Linked DNA regions of Lonchura striata. The protein of the gene in region 1 interacts with the protein of each later gene in a biochemical or structural test. Links are inferred from orthologs where the notes say so. Each region holds a gene or a part of one and is shown in the gene's direction. Other genes may lie near its edges.

Region 1 (7,765 bases):
AACAATAAACAGGCTTTTTTGTTGTTTTTGGTTTGGGGTTTTTTTAGTTGGTTTGCTTGTTGTTGTTGTTGTTTGTTGTTTGTTTTTGTTTTTGTTTTTTTTTGTTTTGGTGAATGAATTTGTAGTAGAAAACCAGGATTGGTTAAAACATGATAAACTTAAGAATGGGAGCTTCAAAATTAAACTTGATGGGTGATTTCAGACAAAGAGAGAAACAAAGTTTATATTGTGTGGAAAAAATAAATTATGAAAACCTGACTCCTTAGTTTATAATAAGAAGTCTGTGGATTAATGCAAACTGGTAACTGATTTTGACCTAATTATGGCAAGTAAGTGGGATAATTATCCCACAACAGTTGCTGGTGGAGATGTCTCATGAGCTGGCCCTGCGGAAATTCCTTTGGAAGATGAGATTGGGTGAAGCAAATAATTTGTAGGCAGCAGTGTTGCAATCATGCTTCCTAAAAGGACTTGGAAAATGGACACTTGTCCCCCTGACTCTCTAGAGAGGGAAGCAGTTGTGATTTGCTTTGAAATGTGAGGAGGAATTGGCTTGTGAACTTCCTTATAGGCCTCCAGCAGGAAGTGATTCCTGTTGGCTGAGTATTTCTCAGAAGCAGGAAATAATAAAACAGTCACAGTTGCCAAAGCAGTTGATGGAGGTGTTCTCCTTGGCTCCCTTTGAATGGCTCTGAGGCAGAACAGAGCCTGATACATATTTCCTTTTCTACTGCTTTTTGATTAAAAAGTGATGCAGACGGTGGATTTCTGTTCCAGCAGATGAGTAAAAGATGAGACGTTTCAGCAGAAACCTTTTTCAAAATGAACCCAGATGCACTTACAGACCTAGGGTGATATTGATGGAAATATATAAAGAACTTCAGAAGTTATGCTTGTTACAGCAATAATCAAATGTTTTAGAGGAAAAAAAAGACAACATGTAAATCATCCAATGGGAACTTCTATCAGTGACAGTCTCTAGGATATTATCCAAATAGCCATACAGGAGAAGACCACATAAATGACACTTTGGAGTCTGGAATTCTAAAGCTGCTGGCCAGGAGGTTGGAAAAGCTGGTGCTCTGATTTAATGGCCATGTATATGCCTGAACACAAACAGTGAAAATGCTGACTCCTTGTCCAGATGGCCTGAACCAGAAGCAAATTGCAAACACTCCCCTGGGCAGAAGAGCAAGCCATGAGCTGCTGGGGGAATGTGCTCACTCAGGAAGAGGTGGCAGACGTCTTTCCTCCAGTTATTTACAAAGGAGGGATGAGTTCCTGTATCACCAACAGAACCTGAGTCCAGAGTAGGAAAAATGAGTGTCTAGGCAATTAAAAACCTCCCAGCAAGAGGAGCTGGTGTCACAACAGCACCATCCCAAAGGTGTCTGGGAGTGGAACACACCATGCCCTATAGCATCACTGTAAGAGCAGCCTGGCCATGGTGACAAAGCCTGATATTGGAGGTAAATATAATAAAAGCACTGTGTAAGTGCTGTGTATCCAAACTGCAGCAGCAAAAGAAGTTGTGTGTTAAATACAGCAGGGCAAGGATGTGTTCTAAGGGTTCACCTGGTTGTCTGAGCACACATAATGGGGATTTTTTTTGCCCAGTGTGACTAGTCACGATGTACAAATAATTGCTAGGTTCGAGATGAAATAGATGCTTTACAGAGAGAGACAGGAAAGCAATCCTACTGTGATCCTGTAGTGCTGTGACTGGTTCCATTTGGCTCTTCCCTGGGGCCTGACACGAGCCTGGCACATTCACCGTTGTTTCAGTGAATGAACCTGGTCCAGAGTCATTGGCAGGAAAGAAACTGGAATCCAAAATGATTCAGCAGGTCTGTGAGATTTTAAGGAACAACAAAATACGCAGGTTGCCCCAAACCCGATATAATCCAAGTTATGTCTCTCTCAGATTCTCCAGTTTTGGTGTCTGCATCTGTGATACAGCACAAAAGGAATGGAAATAAACACGTTTCATATTTCTTGATAGAATCCTAACAAGAGTACAAAATGTTTCTTGTGCTCCTCATGCTTTGGCATAAATTGATTAAGGCAAGAAAATCTATTCCCTCTGAAGAGGAAGAAGAGATTTGAAACATGTGCAGAATAGGTGGAGACCAAATTAAAAATCTTTATATTTCATTGGATTTCAGATCAAATTTGGAAGTAGTTGCTCACAAAATAAAATCCATGAAGCAAGGGCATATGGCAACAGTTTCTAGGGCATCTGGTGTGATTCTCTAAGTTTAGAGAAAAGCAGGGCCATCCCTATCATTGGTTATTTGGTGAAATGCCATGGACATTCCAGTTCTCCCAGGTTGCACTCAGAAACTGAGGCTTTTAAATTAAGATAGTATGTGGCAAGTTATTTCTGTTCTGTGCTGAGTGTCCATGTGCACTTTTCCCATCAGCAAATACGACTTAATTTGAGTTAATTAGCTGGCTTTCATTCTTGTGAAATAAAATGTCTTGCACATGCTTACACAGATAGACGAGTGTGTAGATATACTGGGGTAGGACTTTTAATGTGCATTTATTTTCCATATGTGTAAATTTGTAACCACGGAAATAACATTTATTAAAAACAATATGATTAATACTTGGTTTCTTTACTTTATGTATATATTGTGATTTTATATTAGCATAGTCATGATTTTTCTGAGTGTATTAATATGAGAGGGTGCCATGGCAGATGTTCCTGTGTCCAAGGAGTTGGGAATACTTTGCGTGTAATGTGAGTAAATGAACAAGTCTATTACTTCATGGAACACTTGATGACATAAAACCAAGGTAAAAGTCTGTTGTGTATGTGCTGAACGTCCTAATGAGAGAAAGAGACTTGGAGAATGTTTCCTACACTTTTTGTTGAGGATTTTGAAGTGAGAAACGCTGCGGGATGTTTACACTGGTACCCAAAGATCCCCGGCGCAGCGGCAGGACGTCCTGTGGCGCTGTGTGTGAGGTGCGCGGCGGTTCAGCGCTCGCATGGCTGGGGCTGCGTTTGAGAGCGGCAGGAAGGGGAGAGGTGTGCGGGGGAGAGCTGCGCTGTTTGTTGTGGTGCAGGAATAACGATGCTGGGGTGGGTGCAGGCAGCCGCGGCTCCCCGTGCTTTGTGACACGGCTGTGCCTGCGGCAGCTCTGCCGCTCCGGGCGGAGGCAGGCAGCGGGGAAAGAGGGATGGAGGTCACGGTCCTGCGGGGAGGGGACCTGTGGGTTTCCACGGCTGGCAGCGGGCAAACTGCGTGTGTGTGACCTGCGTGGGGCTGTGCGAGGGGCAGAGAGCGGACTGCTGTGTCTGTGTGGGCGTGAGGGGAGCCTCTGGGTGTGAGAGAAAGTGAGAGGGGACCTTGTCTGTGTGCGGGGGATCTGTCTGTGCGTGACCCGGGAATCTCTGTGAGTGAGGGTGTGAGGGAGAGAGACAAAGTGAGAGGGGAGATTCTGTGTGCGTGTTTTGAGGGAACCTGGGAGCGTGCGCGTGTGAGCGAGGGGAGCGTCGGTGTGTGCCTGTGTGTGAGGGAAGCCTGTGCAGGTGAACGTGAGAGAGAGACAAGAACCGGTGTGTGCCTGAGTGGAACCGGCGCGTTTGGGGGGAGCCGGTGTGTGTGAGAGCCGGTGTGTGTGAGAGCCCCGGTGTGTGTGTAAGAGAGAGAGAGATCCCGGTGTGTGAGAGCACCTGGTGTGTGTGTGAGAGCACCTGGTGTGAATGTTTGTGAGAGAGATCCCGGTGTGTGAGAGCACCTGGTGTGTGTGTGAGAGAGAGATCCCGGTGTGTGAGAGCACCTGGTGTGTGTGTGAGAGAGAGATCCCGGTGTGTGAGAGCACCTGGTGTGTGTGTGAGAGAGAGATCCCGGTGTGTGAGAGCACCTGGTGTGTGTGTGAGAGAGAGATCCCGGTGTGTGAGAGCACCTGGTGTGTGTGTGTGAGAGAGATCCCGGTGTGTGAGAGCACCTGGTGTGTGTGTGAGAGAGAGATCCCGGTGTGTGAGAGCACCTGGTGTGTGTGTGAGAGAGAGATCCCGGTGTGTGAGAGCACCTGGTGTGTGTGTGAGAGAGAGATCCCGGTGTGTGTGAGAGCACCTGGTGTGTGTGTGTGAGAGAGAGAGATCCCGGTGTGTGAGAGCACCTGGTGTGTGTGAGAGAGATCCCGGTGTGTGAGAGAGCACCTGGTGTGTGTGTGAGAGATCCATCCCGGTGTGTGAGAGCACCTGGTGTGTGTGTGTGAGAGAGATCCCGGTGTGTGAGAGCACCTGGTGTGTGTGTGTGTGTGTGTGAGGGATCCCGGTGTGTGAGAGAGAGATCCCGGTGTGTGTGTGAGAGAGCCCGGTGTGTGAGAGCACCTGGTGTGTGTGTGTGTGTGTGTGTGTGAGGGATCCCGGTGTGTGAGAGGGATCCCGGTGTGTGAGAGCACCTGGTGTGTGTGTGAGAGAGAGATCCCGGTGTGTGTGAGAGAGATCCCGGTGTGTGAGAGCACCTGGTGTGTGTGTGAGAGAGAGATCCCGGTGTGTGAGAGCACCTGGTGTGTGTGTGTGAAAGAGAGAGAGCCCGGGGCGCTGCGGGAGCTGACGAGGCCCGGCAGGTGCGGCCGCCCCCCCGCTCTCCCCGGCGCTCCCCGGCGGGGGCGGCCCCGCGCCCGCCCCGCCCCGGCCGGGGGCTCGCTCGCTCAGCCGCGGGCGGAGCAGCCGGCGAGAGGGCTCGGGATCCTCCTCCGCTCCGACGTCAGGCTGGGAGCGGGAGGCAGCGCCCAGCGCCGCCGCTGCCAGAGGCTCGGCGGCCGCCGGACGGGGCGGACGTCGGGGCGGCGACTCCCGGAGCGGCGGGGGGTGGGGAGGAGGCGCTATGGCCGACGTGTTCCCGGGCTCCGAGCCCGGCGCCGACCCGGAGGCGGCGCGGCGCTTCGCTCGCAAGGGCGCCCTGAGGCAGAAGAACGTGCACGAGGTGAAGGAGCACAAATTCATCGCGCGCTTCTTCAAGCAGCCCACCTTCTGCAGCCACTGCACCGACTTCATCTGGTGAGAGCCCGGAGCGCGCGTCCCCCCGCGCCCGCCGCCGCCCGGGCCCGCTCCGCCGCGGGGGATTCCCCGCCCCGGGCAGCCCCGGCTCCGGGGCGCCGCCGTCCCTGCCCTGCCTCCCGTCCCCGGGCAGCCGGGTCGCGGTGCGGCCGCTCTCGCCGGGGCCGGGCAGGTGACCCCGCCGGGGGTGACCCCCGGTGTCACCGCGCTGCCCCGGCGCTGTCGCATCCTCCTCCCGGCGGGTTGCCGCGGCTCGGGGGGCCCGGGGCTGGGCGCACCCCGCTTGAAGGGGCTGCGGGGGGGTCGCAGAGACCAGCAGGGTCTGGAGCCCCGCGCTGGGACCAGCGCTTCGCACTTGGTCCAGAGCTGTGTTTCCCACCCCTTGTCCCCGGGTTCTGCTGGGTGGGGGGCTCGGCCGGGCACGGCCGCGCTGGGACGGAGCGTGCCCGTGTCAGACCGCGGCGTTGCCGAGTGGCAAAACTCGGCTCCCCCAGCCCTAAGTCCTGGTCAGTGCCTGCCCTGCTCCCTCCTGCTGCCGAGGCCGGGCAGGCACGGTGACACCGCTGCTCCGGTCCACGCCGAGGAAAGGGAGGGGTGGTTGTTGTGAGGGAAGAGAGGCAGGAAAACTCCCTACCAACACGCTCATTACTGAGGTGGTAGGGAAGAATACACCCACGGGTTGGTGCCGTGCCGGGCAGGGCGGCAGCTCCGCGCAGGCCGGAGCGAGGAGCGGCGGCCCGGGCTGGCAGAGCCGGGAGAGCCGCGGGGGTCCCGGACCTGCGGGGACCGTGCAGCACAAACAGCTCAGGATTCCCCTCCTTCCCCTCGCTCCAGTCCTGCTCCGCTACTCAAGTTTGCGCTGCGGCTCTGGGTGCCGAAAGCGAGAGCTGTGATTTATTTTGGCCAAAGTTGTGAAAAGGTCTGCACGCAGCTGGCTCTGTGTCCGTGGCACGCTTCTTGCTCTTTTTATGTGTGTTTATGTGTCTGGACAGGGACCTTTTACTTCCTCTGCTTGCATGCTGAAGCAAAGACTGTGCTTGTGCCAGAAATGATTGAAATATATTTGCAGAGTTAAGGAAGGAAAGCTGACATGGTAGACTGCACAAGAAACAAGTCAAATTTCTGAGTTTATCTTTCTTTTAAATTTTTCTGGGGGGAAAAAAAGTGAAGTTGGGTATGGTAAAAGTGAGAGACCTTCAGAAACTGCTTCAAAGTTAATCTAAACCAGAATGAGTTGGGAAGTGTGAAAAACCGCGGCAGGGTTATTGCGAGCGGTTTTGTGCACACCAGCAGCACAATTATAAAACAAAGCCGAGCTCTGTCACGAATGACAGGATGGATTTGGAATTGAAAGGGTATCCTGTGGCTGACAGGTGGCAAGAGCGACTATGCTCCTGTCTTGTCGTGCTTGCTGAGCCTGGGGAAGCTCTTCACATTCCTTAGAAGAGCATCTGACACCTCGAAAACTTGTTTGTTTTCTGGTTTGGAGATGGGCTGCTCTCAAACAACCATCGCGCACCATTGAGTGTTTCCAAAATGACTTGTGTCAATTAACAACGTTGGAAGGTATAAAGAACAGTAAACACAACCTTTCAATGAAATACACAGATTCTTTCCCTTAGATTACATTTCATCACGTAATATGGATCACAATAGTTTAGTCTTTCCTCTTCAACAACTTTCGCCTCTCGGCTTTGGTTCTGGAATGTTGATATTTTTTAAAAGACTTTTTACTTAAAAATTACATTGTAACTGCTCGGAGAGTGCGGCTCTGCAGGGATTCAGTTCAGACACTGAGCCCCAGCCGTGCTTCTGGAGTACATAAAACAGGAATATTTGCAAATAGGTCTATTTCAAAGCTTTAAAAATTATCTCAGGTCTGTTTCATGTTCTTAGTCCCACTACCAGCTTTCCTATGATTGTATTTCCATGCTTCTAGCTTTTGAACTTTGTGAAGATGAGTGGTAAAAGCATCAGAGTGACAATATAGGCACATGTACTGCCAAGTAAAGAAATAATTCGATTTTTCTCCTGATTTCCCTAGTTCACGTTTGCTTATAATAACAAGAAGTAGCAACTTGTGCAGCAAAATGTAGAGAAATGCTCTGTGTCATTTCAGCTTCCTCCTGAAGGAACAGTGCACTGAAGGTCTTGTCTCTGCCATAAATAAATAAATAAAAAGTGGAGAAATTGTTGATACATTTTTTAAGAAATCATTTCCATAAAGTTGATAATTAAGCCACGTGTTGTTAATTGCACGCAGCTTCTCCAGCTCATGGCTTTTGTCTATTTGAGTGTGAGCAGCTCCAGCTCTTCAGATGAAAAACAGGCTGCAAAGAAAAAGGCAGAGAAATGTTTATAGGCAGGATACTCAAAACAGTTATTTTTGTGGGAAGAGAATGTTAGATGCTTAAAGATAAACAAATAAATCCACAGCAGTGGAGTTTGCCAGAGGTACAAAATGTGTTGGAACTCTGGATACCACTGTCATTGTGTTCACTGCAGAAGTGTTACACACACATTTGTATTTCATTATGGAAATGAAGCAAGGAAGCTGGAGAATAATCAGTATGAAAATCAGGGGCCTGGCTTCTTATTTGTGTTGAAACAAGCAAAACTTTTCACCTGTTTGCTTTCCATCCAGCAAATGGCTGGACTTCAGCTGAGCCTCACAACAGCAGCTTGTAATCCCAAAACCTGGATGAAACCCCAAGTCTGGTTTGTTTTACGTGCCTTTGCTGGAAC
Region 2 (7,641 bases), on another chromosome or scaffold:
CGGGAAAGTGTCAAGGAATTTGGCCGGGAAAAGTGGTTTTTTGGAGCCCCTGGTGCGTCCCCTTTGCCACAGCGGGCTCAGAGCTGGCCAGGGAGTGGGGGGGTCCTTCCCTATTATACTGCGAGATTCCAGGGCATGGAGGAGCTAGGAAAGGCTGGGAAAAGCAGGACAAACATCCCTGTCCTCCAGCCCCCTGCAAACGCCTCGCGGTGCATCCCCCCACCCCTCCTCGGATGCTGCCGGCAGTCACCACCTCCTCCGCTGCCCTGGTCAGATCTGATGTGCAATAAAATACCTTGATTAAAAAAAAAAATACCAGGCGGCCAGACCCCACTGCGAGCCCGCCAGAGAGCCCTCGATTAATGACCCCTCGCATTCCCCTCCTCCGTTAATGATTTACAGCGGCTCCTCCCGGCCTGTCCCTCCCTCCCTCCTCCCCCACCATCGGCACCCCCAGGCCCCAGCAGAGGGGAAGGGGCTCCCGGCAGCGCCCGCAGGGATTTTCTCACCCCTGGCACATTCCCCGCGTGGGGAACACCGGGGCTGAGGAAGTTGCCAGCACCCCCAGCGTGGCTCAGCCTCATCTTTGCCCAGGGGGACGGCACCGGGCTCCATTCCTGCCTCTTCCCTGCTTGCTGCCACCTCCTTCTGCCAGGCGGGACCCCGCAGCCTCCCCGCACCCACCTGAGCCCATGTGCGGGAGCGGGGCCAGGGCTGCCCCCCGCAGCAGCCCCAGGCTTTGTGCTCCCGGCAGGCAGCCCCGAGGAGGTTTCATGTTACTGGGAAACTGGGATGGCGGGATGTTCCCGGGGCAGCCCCGCAGACAAAAGGCCATTGTGCAGCCGCGCAGCCATGGCTGCAGCCCCGGAGCATCCCGCTCCCTGCCACAGCCAGCAGCCACCCCAGGCCCGGGAGGTGGCACAGCCGGTGTTGGACCCGCCAGGGGCCCGAGCAGCTCCCCAAAACTCATGGGATGCTCCGGCATAGAGTGCCCAAGCCGGAGCACCCCACAAACGACCCCTTGCCCATCGCCATGCCACCAGCAGCACCCTCTCCATCCCGCGGGGCAGGAGTGGCACTAAACCAGACCCTGCTGGCACCGAGTAGGGGTGACGGGCAGGGACGTGTCCCCACAGGTCAGGACGTGCAGGTGAGGGGTGGCTGAGCCTGAGCCGCTTTCCAGCCCCACCGGCTGATCCTGCTCGCCCTGCGGCCGCCATGGATCAGCCTGTGCTGCCTCGGGATCACCAGGGTACAGGGAGTTATTTATGTGCATTTCCCGCTGCGGGGGCTGTGCTTATTGCAGCCCCAAGCACCCCGGAGCCCAGGGCAGGGGGAGCACCTCCAAATCCTTCTCCTCCTCCCACCGCCACCAAATTCTCCCCTGAAGCCCCAGCTCCGCGGTCCTGTCCCCACCACGCCCCATTAACGGCTGCTCCAGAGGCTCTGCAGGTGACAAACACACCCTCGTAATTAGCCAGGTGGCCCTTCTAATCACCCGACAACCTGAGCTGACTCAGAGGCTCGGGTTTCCCCTTTCCCAGGGAAATTAGCAGGAATTAGGCGCCCAAATCCCAAGCGCGGCTTTGCGGGGCTCGGTGGCAGTGCCAGGACGCAGGGCAGGGCAGGATAAGATGTGTGCCACTCAAGGGCCACCCTCTGGTCCCCCATATCCCCCCTGGGTGCTTTTTTGGACACCAAATCAGAGGTTCTGAGGAGCCCAAGGAGCTGGGGGTGATTTTTTTTTTCAGGGCACTTTCCAGAGGTGCAGCTTTTCCCAAGCGCTGGGCACCCGTTTCACCATCTGCTGTCTTCCCGGACCTGAAATATTGGCTAAATAAATCGAGATACGAAATAATTCATGTGTGCACCCCCCATTTGCAGCTCGTGCACCCCACGGCGCTGGTCCTGCAAACCCCGGGCTCAAATCGGCGCTTTAAGACTGTAAATTATCAGGTGATTTAGGAATTTGTCCGCAGAATGGAGCTGCAGGAAAACGCTGCCCTGGTGAGAGCTTAATCTGCTCCAGGGGTGAGAAGGAGGAAGGAGCCATTTAATCAAATTAACAGGCCTGGTTTGGGGTGGGTCCGGGGCTTTTTGGCCACATGGGGCTTCCTCAATGGGGCCATCGGGGAAACAAAGCCGGGAGGGGAAACAAAGGCCACGTCCCCATCCCTGTCCTCCCGCGCCATGGCCGGCCAGCCCCGGGAGCTCCCGGACCGGGACATCCCTGCTGGCATCCCGGGGGGCTCCCGGACCACCGGGACATCCCTGCTGGCATCCCGGGGGGCTCCCGTGAGCTCCGGGACCACCGGGACATCCCTGCTGGCATCCCGGGGGGCTCCCGTGAGCTCCGGGACATCCCTGCTGGCATCCCGGAGGGCTCCCGTGAGCTCCGGGACATCCCTGCTGGCATCCCGGGGGGCTCCCGTGAGCTCCCGGACCACCGGGACATGCCTGCTGGCATCCCGGGGGGCTCCCGGCTCCTCGGGCACTCCGGGACATCCCTGCTGGCATCCCGGGGGGCTCCCGGACCGGGACATCCCTGCTGGCATCCCGGAGGGCTCCCGGCTCCTCGGGCACTCCGGGACACCGGCTCCGGGCGATGCCACCCCGGCACGGCCCGGGCTGCCCCGCCGTGCCCCGCGTTGGGCTCAGCTGCGATGTGTTTCCCCATTTCCAGCCATTTTCAGCTTCTTCCCTGGCTGCAGAACTCAACGGCGGGATGGGGGAGCTTGCCCAGTCCTGCTCCCAAACCCACTCAGCCGCGAGCCGTAAATCAGGAACCCAAGTGCAGAAACAAAAGTGAAAATGTTCTTCTCAGACTGCAGCCCCGGGCTCTGCTCCAGCGCGGTTCTTTCGCTGTTTTGCCCTCCTTGCACGTGGCTGTGTGCCTGTACCTGGCTGCTAGGCCATCTCCCCACCTCTCTCTAGTTCTGGGGCATTCCTCCAGCTCTGTTTTTCTTCTTTAAAGACCAAGTGGACGCCCCACGGGTGAAGTCGGTGTGGGGAGACTCCAGCGTGGGCTCTGAGAGTGGGAAACTGCTGAAACTTTGAGGGATTGAAGCAGAGCAGCCCCGGTGGTTTGCAGAACTCGGGCTGCTGCACAGTAAATAAGGAGGGATATTAATAACAACGAGCCTCTGCCAGCACACAAACCAAGTTCCTCATTGGGCTCACGAGCCTGAGCAGAAGCTTTGGGGTAAAAGGCACCCTGACATATTCAAACCCAGGCAGGGCTGCCTGCAGGTGGGGAAACACTAATTTTAGCCCCAAAAAAAAAGGGTTTGCAAACAACCCCTGGCTGGACACAAGGCCCTGGGATGGGGGCTTGGATCAGGAGGTGCACGGGGTGCAGGCAGGGGGTGCCTGCTCTTCCTGCAGCTGTTTGGGAACAGGAAACCCTCTTGCAGGAGGGTTCGCCCCCATCTTGGCTTTTATTTTTTAATTGTCAGAAAGGGTCACTGCTCCGATTGTGTTTTAGGCAGAGGAATTTGCAGGGGATTTGAAAAATCCAAATAACAATTAGCAGAAACAAGTGCCCCAAGCCTGGCTGGGTTTGATTTGTTTTTCTTCACCAACATTCCCTGCTAGAGCAGTTTTGCACAGGCAGATGTTGATACTTTCACATTTCATCATCTTAAGGCTCTCCTTTTTTTTTTTTAATATTTTAATAAAAACTTTTCTGAAACTTAAATCCAGCTGTCTGAAGTTCAGATCCTCACTTCAGAGTTCAGCCCTTAGAGTCAAGATGGTCAAAAGCACCCAAATCAGTTTCCATTAGGTTTGTTATTGTTTGCACAGGAGTTTGCAAAAACTTCACACAACGGGATGCTGAGCTCTGGATTTCCCAGTATCTCATCGAGGAAAAGCACCACAAGACCCCAAATGCTCAACTTGTGTTGGAAACACTGCCCTGACACAGGGGGGGACCTGGGTTTTGGGGCACCTCACCCGAGAGCTGATCTCAGCTGACTCCACAACGACCCAAAGCACTTCCAAACCGAGCAGAGGAATTCTGAACAAAGCTCTTCCCTGCAGACTGAGCCCAGCACCTGCCTAAAGCCCCGGAGAGCCTCGGGGGCCCCCAGGAGCCCCCAAACCTCACTGTGCACCCAGCAGAACCTGCTCCCACACCAGCCTCCCCTTTCGGCGGTGGTGCTGCGGTAACGCATTCAATGAACACCGCAGCAGCATCCGGGGAGCCCCGGGGAGGGAGCCCCCCGACCCGGGGAGCAGAAGCTTTTTTGGGGAGCTGACCTGGTGGGGAGGCAGCAAACAGAAGGAGCATCGTGCTCCGGCCACCGGCACATGGCGATTGCCCCCGCGGGGCCACCAAACCCCAAAATACGGAAAGGGGAGAGCCACGGGTGTGACGATGGTGATTGTGGGGGGGGGGGGGTCACCCACAGTGGGGTCACCCAGCCGGGGGTCACCGCCACGACCCCGGCCGGGAGCGTTGGCAGAGGGGGGGATGAGGGTGTCTCCATCCTCTCCATCCTCCCCGGCCTGATCTCCACCCGCCGGGGGGGGACCCGGGGCGGGCAGGGCGGGCAGGGGCGCAGCCGCCGCCGCAGCGCTTTGAACGGTCCTATCGCTCCCGGCCGCGCCGCCCCGCGCCGCCCCCGCCGTGATGCGGCCCCGGCTCCGCCTCCCCCGCTCCGCCGGCGCTGGGAGCTCCCTTCGCCTGTTTGCCCTTATTTAATTTCGAGTGTGATTTTGCTATTTTTAGCAGCTGGATCCCCTCCAGTAAGGCTAGGAGCTCGCTCCGTTTTTTTTTTTCCCCCCCTCTCCCCCCTTTCCCCCCCACCTCTTTTTTTTTTTTTTTTTTTATTCCCCCCTCGTTCCCTTGCAAATGATTTTGACCCAGCTTCCTTCCTCCTGGAGCAATTTTTTTTTTTTTTTCTCTCGCTCTCTTTATTATTTATATAAATCCGCGGGGCCTGGCGGGGATGCGGGGCTGAGCCGCAGCCTCTCTCTTCTCCTTGCAGATCCGCAGTCGCCGCGGGCGGGGGGTCCCTTCGCTCCGCAACACAGACCCGCCGGGAAAAAAACAAAACCATCGAAAACCGGCCCCGAAACCCACGGCGAACGCCCGGCTCCGGGATCAAGCTGACTGTGAGTGCCACCTTCCTCTTCCTTCTGCCGCGGGGGGCCGGGGCTTCGCTTCCCCCGGCCGCATGCGGGGACGGGCCGCGTGCGCCTGCCCGAGCTGGGCTTCATTATCGCTATTAATTATTGTTAATAGCAGCGTGATGCACCTGGGGGGGTGGGCCGGGCGGGGGTCCCCGCTCCCACCGCCGAGCGACTTCGCTCCACTTATTGGGCTGCGGGTGATGCAAACGCCCCGCACGGCGCTCGGGGCCCCGCACGTTCCCGGGACAGCCCCGGGACAGCCCCGGGACAGGCACCGTGCAAGGTGCGTGGGGGCCGCGCACCCGCGGGTCGGGGCGAAGTTGCGGGGCTGGGGGCTCAGGCGAGCCCCCCCAGCACGGTGCCCCGCAGCCCGCCTGCAGCGCCGGCTCCACGAGGGGTTTTATTACACCGCCCCCCACCCCCAGGACGGGGGCTTCACAAAGCCCTGATGGTGCCCTTCCTGCCTCTTTTCTTTCTCCTGCACCTCCCTCCTTCCTTTCCTTTATCACTTCCTTTTATTATGCATCCCAGGAAGGAAGGGGGGGACTTTCCTCAATGGCAGCCCCGGGGTGGGGTTCAGAGCAGCCCCGCGGCGGGTCGGGGCTAAGGAGGAGCCCGCACATCCCTCCCGGCCCGCACCCCTGCCCAACAGGCTCTTCAACTTCTGCTCCACGATTCCTTCCCCTCCTCCTTCCCCATCCCTCTGCCAGGAGGTGCGGCTGGGATCCTTCTCCAGCTGCCATCAGGCTGGATTTTCTGGGCGTGAAGAGCTTTTATTTATTTTTTTTAATATATATATACATTTATATATATATATTTTTTTTTTAAGATCTAAGCCCCCCCCCCGCCTGTCTTCCCGCTTCTCCTGGGCCGGTTTGTTTAATCTAAAGAGTAGGTGGCAGGAGCGAGGGATTTATGGGGTTATCAGCACAGAGCAGCGTAAGGCAGCGCAGGCGGCTGGGAAGGCAGGACCAGGCCCGAGAGCAGGAGGGAGCATCGCTCCGAGGGGACAGGTTGGTCCTTGTGCGACCCAGAGGTGGCTGCTGCGGAGCAGAGGGAGCGAGGAGGAGGCCCCGGAGGCTGAGCATCCACAGGGACGGAGAAGGGGAGGAGGTTTCCTTCCCCCAGCTCAATGGAGAGGCAGATGCGGCCCCTCCAAACCGTGCCGAGATGCTCCCCCCGCCCCTGGCGAGCCCGGCAGCCCCTGCCCGCGTCCCCCACTGATTCCTCCCTGCCTGGAAAGGTTTTCTCCCTCAGCTGCTTCCTCTCCTCCATGGCAACCCAGCTGCTCCCTCCCTCCCTGCTCGGCTCTGATGGCGTGTGAGCAGGGCCGGGGCTGCTCCCGCCATGTGCCCGGCGTGGTCCCCGCGGGCCGGGGGCACTGCGGGCGGCTGGGGCGGCTCTCGGGAGCGGGGCTGCCTGGGAAGGGGCTGGCATGGCAGAGGAGCAGCCCCCATTTCCAGCATCCTCCTTCCCAACCCCCTCTGCCAGAGCCCCCCGAGCCCCCTCAGCGCTGGAGCCCCTGCGGAGGAGAGGGGGTGGGATGAGGAAGGATGGGGGGTGGGATGAGCAGGGATTGGAGATGGGATGAGCAGGAATTGTGGGGTGGGATGAGCAGGAATTGGAGATGGGATGAGCAGGAATTGGAGATGGGATGAGCAGGAATTGTGGGGTGGGATGAGCAGGAATTGGAGATGGGATGAGTAGGAATTGGGGATGGGATGAGCAGGGATTGGGGGGTGGGATGAGCAGGAATTGGAGATGGGATGAGCAGGGATTGGGGATGGGATGAGCAGGGATTGGGGGGTGGGATGAGCAGGAATTGGAGATGGGATGAGCAGGAATTGGAGATGGGATGAGCAGGAATTGGGGGTGGGATGCAGAGGGATGGGGGTGGGTGGAAGGTGCACGTGCTTTCCCCAGCACCAACAACTTTGCACAGCAGCTGCTTTGGGGGGCACAGGGCGGGCAGACCCAGCGGCACCCCCGACCCGTGCAGGGTTCCCTTGGCATTCCCAGCTGGAGCTGCTGTGGGGTCTGGTGGCCCCTCCAGAGGCGGAGAGCCCAGCAGGGTGGGGGTCATGCTGGGCCCATCTGTTTCCAGCTGCAGGAGGGGGCACGGAGCAGCTCGAGGCTGTGCTGCCTCTGACAGAGATTGACTTAAAAAGAGACAAAACCCCGTCCCAGCCCGACCAGCAGCCGGCCCTTTGCTGGCCTAAATCTAAACCATACTTCTTTTTTTTTTTTCCTAAGAGACTCCTTGAAGGGCTCTGGGATGCTGTGAGTAATATTTTCGGGGTGTTTACACTACAGCATGGTTTCTGTCTCCCAAAAAAAAAAAAAAAAAAAAGACTCTGAGGGTGGTTTTTGTTGTTGTTGTTCTGCACTCATGAGTCACTTCCAGAGGGGAGCAGGAGCTGACGCCTGTTTTTTGAAAAGGCTCAGAGGTCTGAGTGGCTCCTCGGGGCTGCATGTCCTGCCCACACCCTCCCCAGTGAGGCTCAG
Region 3 (7,034 bases), on another chromosome or scaffold:
GCAAACAAAAGTTTCGTGTCAGAGATTACTTCTATTATTCAAATCCTGTTAAGAAACCGGACTGGGAGTGTTTTCACACACACACACACTCTCCTTCAGGGCCAATTAAAGCACATAATGTGCCCAGCTCTGCATGGACAGGAACATTTCCAGATTTAAATTTGCAAGACACATCCCTGCTGTTGAGAAAACACAAGCGTCTTGGCAAAGGCAACCACAGTTTCTGGTTTCGTTCAGCCTGCTCTCTTTTTTTTCAGTTTTTCCTGGTGATTCTAAGAGTGCAAGGCAAGCCTTATTTACTGGTTGAAGTGAACTCACACCAGGTGACATTGCTGGGGCTCTCTGCAGCTGAAGAGAGGCCGGAGGAGCAGAGGAAGTGCTCCAGGCCAGCCTCTGACTCAGTAAGGCACATACACACAAAGGCAGAAATATTTTATGCCTCTGCTCCAATCTGACAATTTTCTCAGGGGGGAAATTAAGGATCTACAAGTGAGGTCCAAATCAGAGTGATTTGCAATCCTGCATCCTCCCCAGGCTCCATCTGTTTGTCTCTCTGCCTGGCGAGAGGGTCCTTCCAGCTCCAGTGCCCAAGCCTCTCCTCCACAGCAGATGTTGCAGAAAGGAGACGCTTCCAGAGGTTAGTCCTCAACAAGGAATTTAATTCAGGCTCAAATAGTTGTGAATTGACATCTCAAGGCATTTAATAAAACCCTTCCTTTTCAGTTTTTCCATCCCACCCCATCAAAATCTTTGATTGAAAAGTTCATGTGTTGGTTCAAGCCTTGGTTTACTTGTAAGCAAATTCACGTGCTGGTGCTGGAAGACAGATGTTCCAGTCCTGGGGAAATATCATCCTGTCCCTGAAAATGCCACATTAAATGGCAATTAATAACAAATAAAGTAAAGAACTGAAAGCAAATGCAATGCCTTATAAGCAGCAGGCTTAAGTAAAATGAAGACTGAGAGAAAATGCCTGGAATGAAAAACAAAGATATTGGACATGACTTGAAAAAGTTTTAGAAATTTTGGACCTTCTTACTGGATTAGGGTTATGAAAATTCACTCACAAGCTTCAGTATTAGTGAACTAGACTGGATGTGTCATCGCTGAATGCTGGAATTCTTCTAGGCAGGAAAAGACACATCTAACAAGGGACAGTCCCTCATTGCTAAAGGACTGAAATCCAAGTGCTTGAAATGGTACTTGAAGCGACAAAGATCCAAATTTGGGCAGCAGAAGGGTCAGAGATTTGAATAAAATTTTCATAATTCTGAGGGCAGAGTGAACACTGGTCAGAAGCACCTTTTTCACCTCATTTATAAACAGGAATACGTGACACTTCATCAAGTTCCAGTGCAGCAAAGTTTGAAACAGCACAGAGAAACTTTCCTTTATAGTGCAAACACCTAACTTGTGGATCCACCACCAAAGCCCAAGATGGTAGGATTTAAGGAAATCTGGATATTTTACATTCCCTATTGAAGCCTGTTATAATGCAAACTAAAATCATATTAAAGATAATCAATTTTCATGCTCCAGGCAATAAGGAGATCACCTTGGGAGAGGAGGCAGAGAATATTAATATGTATTTTGGGGAGGCTTCCATACAATAAAGTTTCAGGAACTGGCTACTTTTCTGACAAGGATATCAGGATAGAGAGAATATTCCAGCCAGTTCAGAATAACTATTTCTAAGGTATCCCATCCAGTACAGAGCTTGATATTTTTTATTTAAAGAAGGATCAACCTCCCATAAGCCACTGCCTTTGTATGGACATGCAGTGGCAGCACCTTTTAACTGAGTATAAATCCAAGCTTCATTAGAACTAGGGAAAAACTTCATTTTCTCAACAGTTGCTCCAGTGTAACTATTTTCAAATGTATTGGGGAACCTTCTGCACTTTGGACCATATTTTACATTTATTTTCTACTTCTTCTAGAAATTGATTTAACACACAGACACTACCTCAATGCTGTCAGATCTGTATTTATTTACAAATTTTCCCTATGAAAAAAAAGGATTTCCTGAATTCTGCAATGACTTTTTAAATATTGTTCTGATCCTTCCCAAGTGGATTCCTTCATTTTGGGACAGTTTCTGAATCATATAAACTCAAAATTGAGAAACTCATAAAATTTTTGCTGATGTAATTCAGATTGAGACTCTGAAAGATTCTCCAGCTTGAAAACCAGTGGTTGCTTGCTGCAAACTCTGCTGGCATTTCAAATCCTGTTGAGTTTTATTTCCTCAAATGAAGGAAAAAAAATGCAAGTTCACTTTTCTCAGGCACTTTACTCCTTTTTATCTCCTCCATGTCTCCTTTTAGGAACCCTATTTACCAAATGCTTCTCCTTCTACATTAGCTACTAATTCTCTGCCCCCACCTTTAACTCATAACTTTGCAAATCCCAAATTCCAGCCTGGTTTGGGTGGGAAGGGACCTTAAAACTCATCCAGTACCACCCCTGCCATGGCAGGGACCCCTCCCACTGTCCCAGCTGCTCCAGCCCCAGTGTCCAGCCTGGCCTTGGGCACTGCCAGGGATCCAGGGGCAGCCCCAGCTGTGCCAGGGCCTTACACCCTCCCAGGGAACAATTTCTTCCCCAATTTCCCATCTAAATCCCAGTTCCAGTTTAAAGCCATTCCCTGTATCCTGTGCCTCCATCCCTTATCCCAAGTCCAGCTCTGGTGGAGCTAAGCACTGCAAGGGGGCTCGGAGCTCTCCCTGGAGCTGCTCCTCCCCAGACAAACACCCCTGGCTGTGTCAGCGCACACATCGCTGGTTTTGGGATGGATTTTTACACAATTCTGGGTTTGGGCTGGATTTTTAAACAATTCCGTGTTTTCCTCACACGTGCAGCCCGGCCTGGCCTGCAGCCCCAGCCAGGCCGCACCGGCATGGAGCAGAGCCCAGGTTCTCCTGGATCCCCCCGGAGCAGAGCCCAGGTCCTCATGGATCCCCCCGGAGCAGAGCCCAGGTTCTCCCGGATCCCCCCAGAGCAGAGCCCAGGTTCTCATGGATCCACCCAGAGCAGGGCCCAGGTTCTCATGGATCCACCCAGAGCAGGGCCCAGGTTCTCATGGATCCACCCAGAGCAGAGCCCAGGTTCTCCTGGATCCCCCGGAGCAGAGCCCGGGTTCTCCTGGATCCACCCAGAGCAGGGCCCAGGTTCTCATGGATCCACCCAGAGCAGAGCCCAGGTTCTCCTGGATCCCCCGGAGCAGAGCCCGGGTTCTCCTGGATCCCTCCGGAGCACAGCCCAGGTTCTCCTGGATCCCCCCGGAGCACAGCCCAGGTCCTCATGGATCCCCCCGGAGCACAGCCCGGGTCCTCATGGATCCCCCCGGAGCAGAGCCCAGGTTCTCCCGGATCCCCCCGGAGCACAGCCCAGGTTCTCATGGATCCCCCCGGAGCAGAGCCCAGGTTCTCATGGATCCCCCCGGAGCAGAGCCCAGGTTCTCCCGGATCCCCCCGGAGCAGGGCCCGGGCTCTCCCGGATCCCCCCAGAGCACAGCCCAGGTTCTCATGGATCCCCCCGGAGCACAGCCCAGGTTCTCATGGATCCCCCCGGAGCAGAGCCCAGGTTCTCCCGGATCCCCCCGGAGCAGAGCCCAGGTTCTCATGGATCCCCCTGGAGCACAGCCCAGGTTCTCATGGATCCCCCCGGAGCACAGCCCAGGTTCTCATGGATCCCCCCGGAGCACAGACAAGGTTCTCCCGGAGCAGAGCCCGGGCTCTCCCGGATCCCCCCGGAGCACAGCCCAGGTTCTCATGGATCCCCCCGGAGCACAGCCCAGGTTCTCCTGGATCCACCCAGAGCACAGCCCAGGTTCTCCCGGATCCCCCCGGAGCAGAGCCCAGGTTCTCATGGATCCCCCCGGAGCACAGCCCAGGTTCTCCCGGAGCAGGGCCCGGGCTCTCCCGGAGCCCCCCGGAGCCCCCGGCAGTCCCCGGCTCTGCCTCTTCCCTTCCCCCGCCCGGCTGCGCCTTCCGGCGGCCGCGGCCCCGCCCCGGCAGCGCGGCCTGTGCGGAGCGGCCGGGCCGGGGCAGGTGCGGAGAGCGCGGGGCACACACAGGGACCGACTGGGAGAGACTGGGACAGCCGGGGAGCTCAGGGACAGCCGGGGAGCTCAGGGACAGCCGGGGAGCTCAGGGACAGCCTGGGAGCTCAGGGACAGCCTGGGAGAGGCCGGGAGGCTGGGCAGCCCGGCCTGGGGAGCGGGGGATGATGTTCTAGCCGGGGCAGCGCAAACCCGCCGGGGCTGCAGGGGAACCCGGCCTCCGAAAACGTGCTGGTTTTCCTCCGTGCTGGGGAAGGGAGGATGGATGGCAGCAGGATGGGCTGACAGCGGGTTTTGGTGAATCTCCAAAATGTTCTGCGAAGGGCTGGTTCCGTCCCTGGAGCATCCCGGGCGCATTCTGTGCCCCGGGCGCGGCCGTGGATGCGGTGGGCAGGCGGCAGTGCTGCTGGATGTGCTCCGAGCGGGTAAACTGCACCTAAACCATCGCCCAGCAGCCTGCCCAGGGTGGTTTTAGAGTTTTCCTCGCCGGGAATATTCCAGAAGGATCTTAGCGCCGTGCTGTGCCATGTGCTCGGGGATGGCACCACGTGGGCTCCTGTGGTCCCTCCCAGCCTAACCCTAATGCAGAACAAATTAATCTAAAAATATCCTTTCAGCACTTATATAAAAGCCAAGCTCTTGAGATGTTTTAAAGTAACTACAATAATGTAATTGCATGCAGATTTTAAAGCATGGTAAATGTAAAAAGCTGTTTAATTTATGTGCCCCTCCCAAATAAACCATATTCGTGGTGATGTGTATCTTATTTTTGTGGAGTGGAGCTCTTATTGAATGGTGAGGTGCAGTCTCTGCAATGTTCCAGTTTGAAAAGTCTCAGTTTTCAATACTGGGGCATTACATGGGTGCTGTGACAGTAATTTCTCAGCCACCTTTTGTGCCCAGGCTTGTGCCAACCCTGCACAAGGCTCATCATTTGGAGGGGTTTGTTGGAATGACAGAGTTCCCTTGTAAACCTGATGAAGGTTTTGGCCTCCAAGCACTGCCTGTCTCCCTGATGCACTGGGGACTAAAGTTGGGGATGTGGACTTACTTTCTCTGGGGCAAAATCCACCCTTTCAATGTAGGAAATGTCTAAAACCATCATTTTCTTGTGAATGTGTCAGTCTGTGACATAATCTTTTCCTAGTAAAAGTTTTGTTTGCTTTGTTTTCTAACAGAAATGTTCTGAATGTGGACAGTTCTACCAAAATCTTCAGGTTTCAGCAGGAAAAAGATGTGGCTGTGTGAGCTTGCGAGGCGGCTTTAGCAATTCCTGTCTGCATTCTGGCCCATGAAAGGTTCATTACACCAATTATTTCAGCAAGAGAACAGAAGCTCTATAGGAAACCGTTGTAGTTAGAGAGCAACTTGTGTTACCGTGGCTGCTTTACCTCTTGATAATTCTGTAATTAACTTGTCACCACAGTTTAATGCTTCACCTATGCAGAGGATCAGTTCATGGCATCACTGAGGGGATCAGGGCCTGGAGGAGAAGCTGCTGCCCTTTGGGAGGATTCCTGGGGTTGCCCCGAATGGCTGAGTTAAGGACTTGTGCAGGAAAAGCAGGATGTTTGTTATGGGAAGTGTGCCTGAGCTGGAAAGGTTGCACCTGAGCAGTTCTGGTTAAACTGGTGACAGGGGAAATACCTTGAAGGAGCAGTAATGCCAGAAGTCCTTTGCTGGTTTTGTAGTGTTTTCGGGGTTTTTTTCCTATACAATAACGGTTTTGGAGGACTGAGAACAGCTGATGCTTGTGAATTAACCCTCAGGGTGCTGGCTGGACTGGCAGTGTGTAATTTCCTTGTCCTCCTCCTCTGGTGGCATCCTCACCTGCGGGGTTGCAGAGTGGTTGTTCAGGTGTTGGTGCTGGAAGAGCTTCATGGGAACAAATTGGAGATCCAGGTGTGTTGGGGTGTCAAAATTAAACAGCAGCATCCAGACTAGTCAGCTATTCTTCCTGGGATACAGCTGACCTAAATTGCACTTGATTTCTGAAAGAAAAAGCCTTTCTGCTGGTGAGTTATTATGTCATAGTTCACAGAGTAATATCAAAGAATGGTTTGGGCTGCCTTAAATCCCACCCTTTTCCCCTCCCACTGTCCCAGCTGCTCCAGCCCCAGTGTCCAGCCTGGCTTTGGGCACTGCCAGGGATCCAGGGACAGCCACAGCTGCTCTGGGCACCCTGTGCCAGGGCTGCCCACCCTCCCAGCCAGGAATTCCTGCCCAGTATGATGATGGATCAGGGGTTCATCCTTCTGGGCAGGAATTCCATTCCCACCTCAAATTCTGAATGCACGGAGCTTCTAAATCCATCCTGCAGGCATTCATATTCCCTCTGTCACTGCAGGGATTTCCTGCATCTCGATGCTCCAGCTTGTGGAGCTGGCACTGCCCGTTCCCAGAAGTTGTCAGGGAAGCTGGATACACATCCCAGCCGTGGCATAACTCGGAGGAGCCAGCACTTGTTAACTCTATTTGTTTTTATTATGGACATCGATCTGCCAGTCGCAATAATGCATTTATGGACATTTTTCTGCAAGCGCAGCGCTGGTGGCAGTTTTTACTGACAACTTGAGTCATCTGGACAGGAGTCGAAAATACGTTTATTTTATTGACGGATTGTGCAATTCTCTCGTTTACCCAGTGTTCATAAGATATCTGGACTGGTGAGGAGAATGTAACTGATGGGAAAATGGAGGATGAAGTTTTAATTTTGGGTTTGGAATCTTTTTGGTAGCGACAGGTTCCAGAATGTGTTCGGAATAGGTTTGGGAGCTTTAACTTCATTAATGCTGTAATTAAAAAGTGAAAAGCTCACTGTCCTTACAGCAGAATTCCAGGCCTGAATCCCCTCCCTCTGCTGATAGCTGGGAATGGTACTGGTTGGTAATTGTGCTGATTTATCTGAAGGTATAATGGGTAAAATCCTCCTAATGGAAGGAAAAACTCCTGTTGAATTTAGTATTTCTGA
Region 4 (6,891 bases), on another chromosome or scaffold:
CCAGGACTTCATTTATTCCCAGTTAGAGCCGGTCGCTGCGGTGCCAGGGGCTCTCCCAGCAGGGATCCCCAGCACCGGGAGCAGCCCTGGCTCGGCCACAGCTCCCTGCACAGCCAGCAGAAGGTGCTGGGCTGCCCAAACTGCGGGGAGGAAAGCTGGCTGTGGATAAACACCAGCACTGAGGAGGAGGAGGAGGCTGAGCGGGAGGAAGAGCAGCTCCCACAGCTGGGAAGGAGCCAGGAGAGCTGGGAGCAGCTCCCAGCCCCAAGCAGGATGAGCTCAAGCGACATGCCGGGACAGGGATGGGCTGAGTGGGACATGGAAAAGCCACCAGAGCTGCCCAGAGCCACTCGTGGAGGCACGAGGGACACACAGGGCTCCTGGCACCTCAGCTGTGAGGAACCCAAAGGCACGTGGAAAACTTCCCATCCCTCTGGAAGCTCTGGCACAGCCCAGTGACTCCATCATCATCGACCATCCTCCTCCTCAGAGGGCTCCTCACCCTCCCACTGCCTCAGGAGCAAAGCTGACTGCGCAGGCTTGGGGGCTCAGCTGAGGATTTCCCAGTTTCTGCAGGAAGATGGACTTTGTGGGCTCCCCAAAATCCCCACTGGCAGCTGCCAAGGAGCCTGGAGGCCGACTCTGATTTCTGCAGCTGGGAAAGTCCTCCCAGCACCTGCATTTTGGATTATGTTGCAACAGCATCAGGCCCGAGGCAAAGGGAGGAGGACACAGGTGGGATTCTCTGTCACTGCCCAGAACTGGAAGCAGATGTCGACCAAAAAAAGCTCCAAACCCTTCCAAGGCACGGAGCTCACAGGTCCCTGCACTGCCTCTGCCTCCAGGCAGGCCCAGTGTGGACTGAGAGATGTGCCTGAGTCAAAACACCCAAAATTTACATGGAAAACTTCTGCCTGAGCAGGATCTGCAGGGTTTACCCACGGCTCTGCCATTCCAGGCGCAGGAACCTCTCTCCTGTTCTCAGTGAGACCTGGGAGGATGGGAAAAGGCAGGATGGGGAGAACCAAAGGGATTTTGTACCTCGGGAGGATCTACCTTTGCACGATGTATTTTAATGTTCCTTCCAGCTCCTTCTCCACCAGCTGCAGGGAAGAAATGCAGGATTTCCCTGTGATCCATGTTGGTGCCCAGGGATGCACGCTGGGATGATCCCAGGACAGCCCAGAGCTGGTGCCAGAGGCACAGCCACAGCTCCTGAAGTACAGCGATCACAAAATAAATGTTTTATTTTAGGATCACAAGGTGCTCAGGCAAAGATCCAGTGCTGAGTCAGAGCTACAGCTGACTAGAGCGTCCCCTACATCCTCCACAATAAATAAATGGGGTTTTTTGGGGAAAGAATGCCCAGGGCACACTTGAGAAAATGCTTGTGCTTAAAAAAAAACGTAAACAACTGTTTCCCCCCTTTCTGAAATATTTTCTCTCTGTTTTATTATCTTTTAAAAAAAAATTTCATGCTCCCAATGCTTTCAAAAAGATATTCAAAAGGGTTCAAATATTTACTCTGACCACCTGAAAGATTTTCTCCCACTGTGTTTTTATTGCGCCAAATGCAAAGAAAAACTTTTTGGTTCAAATAAACTTGAAACAATTCCTTCTCCTCCCCCTTTCCCTCCCATATTTTGGTTTAGCCAGCGAGTGGAAAAATCAATTCTTCGCACTCCTCCAGCCCGACAAAAAGCTTCAGGACTCCACAAAGAGGCTCTGGGGAGCAGCTGTGCTGTACAGCAAATAAACCTGCCTCAGTTTCTCTGCTTCCTCTGGGTCACCCAGGACTTCGTGCTGAGGTCGGCGCTGCTGGGGTGACACAGGCAGTGCAGGGGCCAAAGAACCATCACTGGGGAACTAAAACATCCTCCTGGTGGGACCTCAGATCTTCATGGGGGACTAAAACATCCTCCTGGGGGACATCAGATCCTCCTGGTGGGACCTCAGATCCTCCTGGGGGACATCAGATCTTCATGGGGGACTAAAACTTCCTCCTGGGGGACATCAGATCCTCATGGTGGGACATCAGATCCTCATGGGGGACATCAGGTCATCTTTGGGACATCAGGTCCTCATGGGGGACATCAGATCCTCCTGATGGGACATCAGATCCTCATGGGGGACATCACATCCTCCTGGGGGAACTAAAACATCCTCCTGGTGGGCCATCACACCCTCCTGGCTGCCACACGTGTCTGGAGGCAGGGCCTGAGCCCGTGCCCACCCCACGGTGACAGACAGCCCAGGGGACAGCACCGGTGCCCCCGGTAGCCCCTGCCCTGCAGCTCCCAGAGCCACAGTGCCTGCAGGGAACGAGGTGGGAAGGACTGGCAGAGATAAATAATGCTGTGATTTCTCAGGATGCAGTCTCCAAGCATGTTTGTGGTCCCGGGGTTTTTAAGGGTGAATTTATGTATAACTGCAGTGGAAGTAGGGTTTTTAAAGCAAACTACGCATTAAAATAAATCAAGATTAATTTCTGGAGCCTTTTCTTTCCAGCCTCCAGCTGGCTGCTGTGTTTGCTTCAGCCCTGTAAAATCTGGGAGGAAAGCAGATGAGGAAGGAGAAGCTGCAGAAGAAGGCCTGAGAACCTGTGTCACAGGAATGTGACACTCGGGGCCAGCACTGTGACAGCTGCTCTGGGTCACGTCCTCTTGTAAAAGATTTCAAGGAAATGAAGGTGAGGAATGCAAAAAGGTGAAGACGGGGATCTCTGTGTTCCATTAAACAAACTCAGCCCAGGTGAAACCTGGGTGGCCTCTCCAAGCTCAGCCCAGATGGAGCCGGAGCCTTTCCCCACCAGGAGTCATCGAATTTGGAACGGTTTAGGTTGGGAAGGGCCTTAAGGGACTTAAAGCTCCAGTGCCATCCACCCAGTGCCACCCCTGCCATGGGCAGGGACACCTTCCACCATCCCAGGCTGCTCCGAGCCGCGGCCAGCCTGGGGACACTTCGGGGATGCAGGAGCAGCCACGGCTTCCCTGGCACCCGTGCCACAGGGAGCCGTCGGATCGTGCTGCTCGGGGCTTCTGGCCCCGGGGCTCCACCAGCCGCTGGTGCCGATGCCGGTGCCGGTCCCGGTGCGGCGCCGATGCCGGTGCCGGTGCCGGTGCCGAGCCCGGTCCCGGTGCGGCATCGGTGCCGGTCCTGGTCCCGATGCCGGTCCCTGTGCCGATGCCGGTGACGATGCCAGTCCCGGTCCCGGTGCCGAAGCCGATGCCGGTCCCGGTCGCGATCCCGGCGCCGATGCTGGTGCTGGAGCCGGTCCCGGTGCCAGTGCCGATGCCGGTGCCAATGCCGGACCCAGTGCGGCGCCGGTGCCGATGCCTGTCCCGGTCCCGATCCCGACACCGATGCTGGTCCCGGTGCCGATGCCGGTGCCGATGCCGGTGCCGGTGCCGGTGCCGGTGCCGATGCCGGTGCCGGTCCCGATGCCGGTGCCGGTGCCGATGCCGGTGCCGGTCCCGATGCCGGTGGCGGTGCCGATGCCGGTGCCGGTGCCGATTCCGGTGCCGGTCCCGATGCCGGTGCCGATGCCGGTGCCGGTGCCGATGCCGGTGCCGGTGCCGGTGCCGGTGCCGGTGCCGCCCCGTCCCTCGCTGCGGCTCCGCCCCGTCCCCTCCCGTCCCGCCGCCGTCCCCGCCCGCCGCGCTCCCGGTGCCGCGGGGCAGCCGCAGCATGGCCGAGCTGCGCATCGCCCCGGCCCCGGCCCCTCGCCCCGCTGCTGCCCCGCTCCCACCGCCGCCCGCAGCCCCGGCCCCGGCCCCGTCCCCGTCCCCGGCCCCGGCCCCGGCCCCGGCCCCGGCCCCGGTCCCGACCCGCCCCTCGGCGCCCGCCCCGGGCCGCCCATAAAAGCGGCCCCGCGCCCGCCCCGCTCCGCCGCCGCCGCCGCTCCGCCGCCGGCCATGGCCAAGGACCAGCTGAAGCCGCGGCTGTGCCGAATGCTGAAAGGGGAGAGCGGCTACGGCTTCCACCTGCACGGCGAGAAGGGCAAGAGCGGCCAGTTCATCCGCAAAGTGGAGCCCGGCTCGCCCGCCGAGGCGGCGGGGCTGCGCGCCGGGGACCGCGTCGTGGAGGTGAACGGGCTCAACGTGGAGCAGGAGACGCATCACCAGGTGCGGGATGGAGCGGGGCACACGGGCACCGGGGCCGAGCGGGGCCGTGCCCGCTGCAGCCTCCCTGCGGCGGGCAGAGCGGGGGTTTCACCCAAAATATCCCCGCCGGAGCATCCCCGGCCGGGCAGCGCTGGGCTGGCCGCAGCGGTGCGGTGGATGCTCCCCCGAAATGCCGGGGCCGGGCTTTGCGTGGCCCGGGATCCGCAGCTCCGTGCGGGGTCGGGCTGCGGGCGCAGGACGCTGCAGTCGTGTCAAGGTGGGGAAGGCGAAGGTGTGCGGGGCTGGGCAGGGCTCTGCCGCGTTATGCAATCTGTGGTGGAAAGGAATGGGGAGACCCGGGCTTTATTTCCGGCTCTGCCGTGGGTTTTCTTGGCTGCTTCGGGCGAGCTGCGCCTGCCTGTGCAGCCCCGAGTGTGGGAAGATGCCTGAAAATCTGCAGATAAAGCCGTGCAGATGTTCGGCAGTTGGGCTGGCCGGGGAGCGATAGGGCTCGGAGGGGAGCCGTGGCTCTCCCTGACCACGCTTGGGCAGGTCCAAGGCTGCCGTTTCTCTGCTCTCCAACAAAAGCTGTTTCGGGCTGTGGCATTTTCTCCTTGTAAAACTGAAACTTGGATTTGTCAGACAGTTTAGTCTAAAAAACCCAAAAAATGCGGAAAAAACAAAACAGCAAGCAGCGAGGTTCGAGCTGCTCCAGTCCTGCTGGACACTCGGAGCCTGGCAGGGGCACAATTTGCCTCGTGGTTTGTGGAGCTCTGCAGGATTTGGTGTTTTAGTAACTTAAAACATCTGCTCAGCCCCGCTGCCAGCGCTGCATGGGGGCAGAGCTGGGATGTGCCGTGACCCCACAGAGTTTTGGGGGGCCGTGTGTTCCCAGACCTCACTCCAGGTGTGCATGTTGCCGTGCTGGAGGTGAAACAGCCTTCCAGGTGGCTCCAACAAAGCCTGGTGGACTCCTCTGGATGAGCCTGGTGGGGTTTGGTGGCGAGTTGAGCTTGTTTTGACGCTCCGAGCCAGCCGTGTGAAAGTTGATGTTTGTCCTGAGTGGGATTTCAAACCCCTTGAAGGAGGATCCCCATCTTTGATGTGGCTGGCCAGGAAGGAGGGCTGGGTTCCTGTGGTGCCTTGGAAGCCACCAGAGCTCCCTGCTGGCGCTGGGCTGCTGGGGACGGGCGATAGCGGAGCCAGCTGTGCCTTTGAAACGTGCTGGGGCTTCCCAGTAGGTCAAGTGAAATGGGAGGGGGAAATTTCCATTTCTTCCTTTTTGTTTTTTCGTTTGTGTTTTTGCTGCTGGCGGCAGGATGGAGCGCTGGCACTCGCTGGCTGCTGCAGAGCAGTGATTGGAACGAGGTGTCCCCATCCAGGGTGTCCAGGAACTCGCCCGGTGCCCGCTCTGGCTGCCGTGGCATCTGAGAGCGAGAGTGCAAGCGCTGGGATCACCCTTTTTCCTGCCTCAATACCACAAGAACCTCTTCTTCCCCCAAAACCTCGCCAGCACTGATGGGCCGTGGCGAGGGCGATGCCCTGGTGGGTCACACGGTGGCTCTGAGCAGCCACCTCACCTTGGTCCTTCCTCGTGCTGCTCCTTGCCCAACCTTGAACAAGTAACACTTCTCCATGTGCCCTGGGGAGCCCGCAGCACACAAGGCCTTGCTCTTTGGGTGTAACTGTGTTTCCAGCCGAAGCTGGCAGCATTTTTGTCTTTGTTCTCTTGGTTTTTTTTCCTGGCCTTGCCCAAGGAGCGAAGGCAGAGCGTGCTCTGTCTCAGAGTTGCGTCCTGGGTTCCTCGGAGCCGGGCAGAGCCGCAGCTCCTGAGCACAGAAAGGTGCCCGGGGAGCCTGGCAGGATGGAGCAGGGCACGGGCACCTCTGCGGGAGCTGCTGCTGGCACCGTGAGTCCTTCCTGGGCGCTGCCGTTTGGCGAGGGTGGAAGGGCCCGGGGCTGGCGCTGCCGGGCTGGCGCTGCCGTCACCAGGGGTAAAGTCTGCTCGGGTGGGGCTGCGGAAATCCTGGGGCTGGGTCGGGTGCTGAGGAGGTCCCAGATGAGCAGGACGGGCTGCATTGTCTCCAGAAGCCTGCGGGACTCCAGGCTGGGAGCATGGCTCGGAAGCGGGTACGGTGCTGGGCAGGAGCTCGCCGGGAGCTGCTGCTTTGCCCCCCACCTCTCTGCTCTGTCCCCAGGGAGACCTGCTGCCTTGGGGGGCTCCTCACAGCCCCTTCTGCTCATCCTGCTCGTGGGGAGGGGGCAAGGGGCTGCTCTGTGCCACTCTCCACCCCTGGCACTTGTACCTTTGCTCCATCGCTGCTCTCGCTGTGGCTGTTGGGGGGCTCGGCCGTGGGGTGAGCCCAGCACTGCTCCACGCCAGCTTTGGACCCTTCTGTGGACCCTCTGAGCATCTCTGCGGTCTGTGGGACCCCTGTGATCCCCTGTGCTGCCTGCAGCACCCGAATTGTGGGCTCTGGGGGATGGCACTGCAGGGCCAGCACCTTCCCCGTCCGCATCTTTGCTGCCGAGCTTTGACTGCTGCTGCTGCCAGGTCCCCTCGGGGAGAAGTGCCCCTGCCCGGGCACTGCTGGTGCCAGCAGATGTGAAGGGATCTGAGCGGGAGCAGATGGATTTTCTGGGCCTGATGGATCAGCCCCTCCAGGCTGCTCGGGGGTGGGCTCCCGGGATCGCTGCAGTGGATGGCTTAGCTCAGCCCTGGCTGCAGCCTGGACATTTCTCGCAGGCTGGTTTTTTTTTTTTTTATTATTTTGTTTGCAGATACCGG

The links.
Region 2: of the proteins of PRKCA (region 1) and HMGA1, one has a biochemical effect on the other in vitro, tested with the Homo sapiens proteins (2 studies listed by BioGRID). The link is inferred for Lonchura striata from reciprocal best matches to the Homo sapiens genes PRKCA and HMGA1.
Region 3: of the proteins of PRKCA (region 1) and MGMT, one has a biochemical effect on the other in vitro, tested with the Homo sapiens proteins (2 studies listed by BioGRID). The link is inferred for Lonchura striata from reciprocal best matches to the Homo sapiens genes PRKCA and MGMT.
Region 4: the proteins of PRKCA (region 1) and NHERF2 form a complex in vitro, tested with the Homo sapiens proteins (2 studies listed by BioGRID and IntAct, with this or other methods). The link is inferred for Lonchura striata from reciprocal best matches to the Homo sapiens genes PRKCA and NHERF2.

What each region holds. Positions count from the first base shown.
Region 1 is NC_134621.1:9,051,211-9,058,975, reverse strand, and holds the start of PRKCA (protein kinase C alpha type), read left to right. Parts: upstream 1-4,753; 5' UTR 4,754-4,847; coding exon 4,848-5,020; intron 5,021-7,765. UniProt on the Homo sapiens protein: Calcium-activated, phospholipid- and diacylglycerol (DAG)-dependent serine/threonine-protein kinase that is involved in positive and negative regulation of cell proliferation, apoptosis, differentiation, migration and adhesion, tumorigenesis, cardiac hypertrophy, angiogenesis, platelet function and inflammation, by directly phosphorylating targets such as RAF1, BCL2, CSPG4, TNNT2/CTNT, or activating signaling cascade involving MAPK1/3 (ERK1/2) and RAP1GAP.
Region 2 is NC_134632.1:4,219,137-4,226,777, forward strand, and holds the start of HMGA1 (high mobility group protein HMG-I/HMG-Y), read left to right. Parts: upstream 1-4,629; 5' UTR 4,630-4,749; intron 4,750-4,991; 5' UTR 4,992-5,118; intron 5,119-7,641. UniProt on the Homo sapiens protein: HMG-I/Y bind preferentially to the minor groove of A+T rich regions in double-stranded DNA. It is suggested that these proteins could function in nucleosome phasing and in the 3'-end processing of mRNA transcripts.
Region 3 is NC_134609.1:31,246,678-31,253,711, forward strand, and holds the start of MGMT (methylated-DNA--protein-cysteine methyltransferase), read left to right. Parts: upstream 1-4,033; 5' UTR 4,034-4,052; intron 4,053-7,034. UniProt on the Homo sapiens protein: Involved in the cellular defense against the biological effects of O6-methylguanine (O6-MeG) and O4-methylthymine (O4-MeT) in DNA. Repairs the methylated nucleobase in DNA by stoichiometrically transferring the methyl group to a cysteine residue in the enzyme.
Region 4 is NC_134618.1:16,766,026-16,772,916, forward strand, and holds the start of NHERF2 (Na(+)/H(+) exchange regulatory cofactor NHE-RF2), read left to right. Parts: upstream 1-3,874; 5' UTR 3,875-3,914; coding exon 3,915-4,124; intron 4,125-6,089; exon of another isoform or gene 6,090-6,218; coding exon of another isoform or gene 6,219-6,233; intron 6,234-6,891.